Linked DNA regions of Sus scrofa. The protein of the gene in region 2 purifies or fractionates together with the protein of the main gene of each other region. This does not show direct contact. Links are inferred from orthologs where the notes say so. Each region holds a gene or a part of one and is shown on either strand. Other genes may lie near its edges.

The links. The genes of interacting proteins can lie anywhere in the genome.
Region 1: the proteins of CCT4 (region 2) and TLE2 purify together in Homo sapiens (affinity purification with mass spectrometry; 3 studies listed by BioGRID and IntAct, with this or other methods). This does not show direct contact. The link is inferred for Sus scrofa from reciprocal best matches to the Homo sapiens genes CCT4 and TLE2.

Annotation. Positions count from the first base shown.
Region 1 is NC_010444.4:75,534,552-75,537,396, reverse strand, and holds the end of TLE2 (transducin-like enhancer protein 2), read right to left. Parts: intron 2,060-2,845; coding exon 1,983-2,059; intron 876-1,982; coding exon 768-875; 3' UTR 585-767; downstream 1-584.
Region 2 is NC_010445.4:79,930,783-79,934,518, forward strand, and holds part of CCT4 (T-complex protein 1 subunit delta), read left to right. Parts: intron 1-1,549; coding exon 1,550-1,658; intron 1,659-2,239; coding exon 2,240-2,382; intron 2,383-2,901; coding exon 2,902-3,023; intron 3,024-3,383; coding exon 3,384-3,516; intron 3,517-3,736. UniProt on the Homo sapiens protein: Component of the chaperonin-containing T-complex (TRiC), a molecular chaperone complex that assists the folding of actin, tubulin and other proteins upon ATP hydrolysis.

The DNA of each region.
Region 1 (2,845 bases), on a different chromosome or scaffold from region 2:
TCTGGGACTGACCTCTGCTTAGCCAGGTCATGTGCCAGGCTCTGAGGAATTCTCTGGATTTCAAAGGAAATGTACCTGCACCCCAAATAGCTTCAGGCACCACCATATTCCCTAACTCTTTGTTCGTGGGCAGGGTCTTTGGATGATTCTGTGCAAAGGGCTGGCGGTAAAGCTTTTGGGCCAAGGCTGTAAAAGCTGAACAGGACTCATTTCTCCTGCTGTGTTGGCCCCAAGCTATACACTGACCTGGTGAAACCCCCACCATCCTGTGGTCCCAAGTGTCTACTTGGAGTTGAGCCCCACCTGCCCTCCGGGTGTGAGTATGAAACATCTATTGTTTCAACCAACTGAGATCTGGGGGCTGTTTGTTACATGGCAGAACAGAAGCCACACAGCCCCAATACAACACCCATTTCTTGAACTCAGTGTTTCATGCAGAATGAATTCCCTCAGTGTCCTTATCTGGAAAAAGAGGCTGAAAGAAAGTCACTGACCCACGGCCACACCACTGGAAAGTGGCCTTCTCTCAATAATGGCGCCCAGAAAGAGCAAGGGTCCCCAGTTCCCCAGCCTGAGACGGAAAGGCAGTTGTGATAAATACATTTATTTCCCCAAAGTCCCCCTGCACATCTGGCCCCACATCCAGTGGAGGAGGATGCCAGGGGGTCAGAGAGCAGATGAGATGTGGGGCTCACAGTAGGACAGGAGAGAAAGTCCTGGATGTCTCTCCACCAGGAGTTGGGCCAAGGGTGCAGGAAGAGGGGGTCTCAGTAGACCACCTCGTACACAGTGGCCTTCTTGTCCCCCGAGCCCGTCACAATGTACTTGTTATTCCCGGAGATGTCACAGCTCAGGACAGAGGATGACTCCTTGGACTGCCGAAGGGAGGGGAAGGGGGTGTGAGTCCAGGACAGGGAAGGGGGGGAGAGAAGGGAGAGTGAGGCATGGCCAAGGCCAGTACTGTCTGGTTCGTGCTCCTAACCACCCACCCCTTCAGAAGGAAAAGGCGAGATGGCTGGGGCAGCACCTGCCCCTAAAGATGAGCCTATGGTCCAGGCTGAGACCGACACAAGACTCGGAGGAGCCCAACATGGGGAGCCTAGGCGGGGGGTAGGGGACAAGGGTGACATGGTTTCCAGAGAAAGGTCCTTTTTTGGAGCTGAGCCCCTGGACAGGTGATGGTGCTCCTGAGAAGAACGGGACCACTATTTTTTGGAAGCTCACAGAGGGTGTGCACCAGGCATGAGGCCACACACCACAGCAGAGGGCTAAGGCTTATAGCAGGATGACCCACACCAGTGCTCAGAAAACTTCTGTAGAGTCCAGTGGTACATTTTTAGCTTTTGACCTGAAAGCTCAGTGAAGTCCAGATGAGCTCTAGCCAGTAAGCCCAGAAACCAAATCAGTCTGTATCACATGATTAGCTTTTTTTTTTTTTTTGGCCTCGCCCATAGCATGCGGGAAGTTCTGGGGTCAGGGACCAAACTCGAGGCACAGCACCAACCCAAGCCCCAGTAGTGACAACACCAGATTCTTAACCCACTGTACCACAGAGGAAACTCCAAGATGGCAAATTTTACAAGTATTTTATCACTATTAAAAACAAAAACCTGACGTTGTCGCTGTGATGCAGCAGGTTAAGAATCCGACTGCAGTGGCTCAGGTCAACTGCAGAGGTTCAGGCTGGATCCCCAGCCTGGTGCAGTGGGTTTAGGATCCAGTTTTGCTGCAGCTGTGGTGTAGGCTGCAGCTGCAGCTTGGATTCCATCCCTGGCCCAGGAACTTCCATATGCCATGGGTGTGACTATAAAAACAAAACACGCAAAATCTGGTTGCACACAGATGTGGCCCTCGTGCTGACCATCTGCTTCTGTAGCTCCTGGCTAGTGGGGAGATCCCTCTGTTCAAAGCCCCCCCTACCCTCCCCCAGGTCCCTGGACACCTGGTATCCTGCCAGGGTGGGGACCTCAGACAGGAGGTACCTGGAAAATGCTGGCTCCATATGGCGTCCTCCAGGCGTTCAGCAGGTTGTCCTTCCCTGTGCTCACGAACCACCGCCCTGGGGGAAGGAGGGTGGGGGGTTCAGGAGAGGCGACCACAGAAAGCCTGGGCTGGGGGCTGGGGGCAGAGGCGGGGCAGCCTGTTCTGGCCTCTCACTGTCTTTCCTGCAATTTTTTTTTTTTTTTTTTTTTTTGGTCTTCTTAGGGCTGCACCGGTGGCATATTGGAGGTTTCCAGGCTATAGGGGTTGAATCAGAGCTGTAGCCACTGGCCTATACCGCAGCTCATAGCAACAGCAGCCACCACAGCCACAGCAACACCAGATCTGAGCTGCGTCTGTGACCTACACTACAGCTCATGGCAACGCCAGATCCTTAACCCATTGAGTGAGGCCAGGGATCAAACCTGCATCTTCATGGATGTCAGTCTGATTCGTTTCTGCTGAGCCACGACGGGAACTCCTCACTCTCTTTCCTGCACTTCTGTCCTCCTCCGGGGGACAGAGCCTCTCAGGAGTCTCCCCCTCTCATTCCAGATGAACTCAAGGCCCCAAAGAGCTCTGACTGGCCTTCAAGAAGGGGGAGCCCCAGGACAGTTGCCAAGTGAAAACAGGGTACTCAGGGAGTTCCCCTGTGGTGCAGAGGGTTAAGGACCTGGCATTGTCACTGCAGCAGCTCAGGTCGCTGCTGTAGAGCGGGTTCAATCCCTGGCCCAGAAACTTCCACATGTCACCGCCTCAGCCAAAAAACTAGAAAAGTAAAAAAATAAAAATAAAAAAATAAACAGGGTACTCATTTACATTTGAATTTCCCATCAACCATACATCATTTTTACTACAGGTGTGT
Region 2 (3,736 bases):
AGTTTATTTTCAAAAAGTTGGGGTGTTTTTGTGGGTTTTTTTTTTAATATTTGTTTGCTTTTTAGGGCCGCACAGTGTCATATGGAAGTTCCCAGGCTAGGAGTTGAATCTGAGCTATAGCTGCCAGCCTACACCACAGCAAAGCAGGATCCTAGCTGCGTCTGTGACCTACATAGCTCACGACAATGCCAGACCCTTAACCCACTGAGCGAGGCCAGGGATGGAACCTGCATCCTCATGGCTACTATTTGGTTTCATTACTGCTGAGCCATGACACGAAATCCTAAAAACAGGTTTTAATTCAACTGTGGATCATAATGATGATTCCAATGTCAAGTGAGAAGTCACTGTAGCAGCAAAAACAAATATTCTTTAGAAATTCCTCTTAAGGAGTTTCCATTGTGGCTCATTGGTAATAAACCCAACTAGTGTCCTAGTGAACTGTGGTATAGGTCACAGACACAACTTCCATTCAACCCCTAGCCTGGGAACTACTTTTTTTTTTTTCAAGATAAATTTATTTTATTTAACCCACTGAGCGAGTCCAGGGATCGAACACGCAACCTCATGGTTCCTACTCGGATTCGTTAACCACTGAGCCACGACAGGAACTCTAGAACTTCTGTATGCTCCGGGTGTGGCCCTAAAAAGACATGAAAAGAAAAAAAAATAAATTTATGTTAAAGTCCCTTTTGGAGTTTCCCACATGGCTCAGCAGAAATGACTAAGTCATTGAGGATATGGATTCAAACCCTGGCAGTCAGGGATCTGGTGTTGCTGTGAGCTTTGGTGTAGGTCACAGACCTGTTGCTGTAGTTGTAGCTTAGTTTTAGCCCCTAGCTTGGGAATTTCCATTTGCTGTGGATGAGGCCCTAAAAAGCAAAAAAAAAAAAATCTTAATTTGCATAATGCAGGGTCAGTTTAGATAAGCTTGGGGAAGGATTCCAAACTGACAGTCTCCTCTGAATGTTACATTTCATAACTTCTGAGTCTGCAAGTTATCCATTGTCCTTTTGAGTAGCTAGCTCAAGGAAAAAATTTACAAACTATAGTCTGGAATGGAAATCATAATAGAGCTACTTAGAGAAAAAATATATAAGAATTATGTGTGTCACAAATATATAGGTCAGTTTTATTGTCGTTTTTTTGTCTCTTTAGGGCCGCACCCTTGGCATTGGAAGTTCCCAGTCTAGGGGCTTAGGTATGGCCTAAGTCACAGCCACAGTGACTCCAGATCCTAGCTGAGTCTGTGCCCTATACCATAGCTCACAACACTGGATCCTTAACCCACTGAATGAGACTAGGGATCAAACCTGAACCTTCTAGTCAGATTCATTTCTGCTGAGTCATGATGGGAACTCTAGTAGGTCAGTTTTAAATGAAACCAAGGTGGACAGCAAATCAAAAGTCAAGTATATTGAATCTTACAGTGTTGATAATAAAGTTTTATATGTGAAACTGATGTGAAGGTCATTGAAGTTATATTTGAATTAGGTTTTACTGAGTTTTCATATTTCTGATTGAGCAACCTGATGTTCTGTTCACTTAGCTGGTGGAGCTGTCGAAGGCTCAGGATATAGAAGCAGGAGATGGCACCACTTCGGTGGTCATCATTGCTGGCTCTCTTTTAGATTCCTGTACGAAGCTTCTTCAGAAAGGTAGGTAAGAAGACTTGGAACATGCTTTATATTACTGAATAAAGGCAAGAAGTTGCTAAGTAATATCTGATTTAAAATTTAATTTGGAACAGCTAATTTTTAATCAGAAATTTTTAGATTAAATTTCACCGTATTATGTGAGTTAGAAAATGTTTTCTTTTTCTAGGTCTCCTTTTGAATGGAATTTGATAAAATTTAGGGTATAGATGAGAACTGTGATTTGGGATATAATATGGGTTCTTGATTTGGTAAATAATTTTTAGACGTAGTAGTGACTCTCTGGTCAATTATTCTACTTATGTAGATTTGTAGAGTTTTGAAAAGTATGAAATTGGTTTTAGTCTCAAATATCACATGAGTATGTAACTAATCTATACCAAATTAAATGGAAGTAAATTATTAGGACTATTTGTGATTAAGGTTATAAAAGCCATTATGTTTATAACTGAAGCCTAAATTATAGTTTTAAATAATTGAGAATTTTACTGCTTTGAAATGTTAATGAATAGAGAAATTTTAAGTCATGTCAAATATGAAATTTGTCTGTTACAATTAAATAAGTGGTCCTTCATAAATGGCAGGGATTCATCCAACCATCATTTCTGAGTCATTCCAGAAGGCTCTGGAAAAGGGTATTGAAATCTTGACTGACATGTCTCGACCTGTGGAACTTAGTGACAGAGATACCTTGTTGAATAGTGCCACCACGTCGTTGAACTCAAAGGTGAGACCAGCACTGAAAGATCATAGTAAAATTATAATTTAAGGTTCATTAAGAATTACATACAAATCTTATGCTGTGGTTATTGATGCTGGACAGTTTATAAATGTTATTTCTCAAGAGTGACCATGTTACTAAACTAATTTTCTATAGGATTATGAGTAATCTGGTTAGTCCTGAGTACTGAGTACCATATTAATAAGAGAGAAATGCAAGTTTTCTTTGTTCTTTTTTTTTCTGGCCATGGCATGCAGGAATTCCCCAGCCAGAGATCTGACATGAGCCACAGCAGTGACAACACCGAATTCTTAACCATTCCCCGCCCCCAGGGAATTGAGAGCATATATTTTTAATTTTGTATCCTGGTTTCAGCAAACCTGAATAGAAAAGACAGTTTATATAGAATGTTTTCTCTTATGCTCTCCCAAAAGTGATTGAGATTACTTCTCGAATATTTTTATCATTATAAAGTAATAGGGCTTTTTCTGTTGTGACACTGATTCTGTTTTTTAATAATTCTAGGTTGTGTCTCAGTATTCAAGTCTCCTTTCTCCAATGAGTGTAAATGCAGTGATGAAAGTGATTGACCCAGCCACAGCTACTAGTGTAGATCTTAGAGATATTAAAATAGTTAAGAAACTTGGGTAAGTATCTCTCATTACAGCTTTAATTAATAGAAATCGATTTCGAAAGTAATATTGGTTGTTGGCAAAAATAAGTTAAATGGAAACCACCTAGAAAGTCACAAAAGTTTGGTTTTTGTTTGCATAGCAATTTGTATTAATGTGGGAATCTCAAGAATTTATTTACATTCCTAATGATGGCAGGGCAGTGTGGTTCAGGAATGGGCACTAGAAATGTGAATGAGGCTAAAGCACATTTTAATCACTGATAATTAAATTACTGATGATTTTTAAGGTGTTCTACTAAACTTGCAGATTTCCTCCCTCTTAATTATCTCATTTCCTTCTTCTTTTTTTTTTTTTTTTTTTTTTTTCTTTAAGTGGGACAATCGATGACTGTGAGTTGGTAGAAGGTCTGGTTCTTACTCAGAAAGTGGCAAATTCTGGCATAACCAGAGTTGAAAAGGCTAAGATTGGGCTTATTCAGTTCTGCTTATCTGCTCCTAAAACAGATGTAAGTAAAACTAAATGAAATGGTTGCTTGTGTGTTTGGCTAATACTGAAAACTTGCTCATTATTATAAAAATAGAAAATGCTGATACTAGTGATAAAAAGCATGGCTCTAAAAAGAATTAGTAAAGTTGAGACAAAAGTAGAAAATATTGGATGCCATATATGATAAATGTATAACCTAAATTGATTGTTTATTGAAATTGAACATCAGCTTTACACAA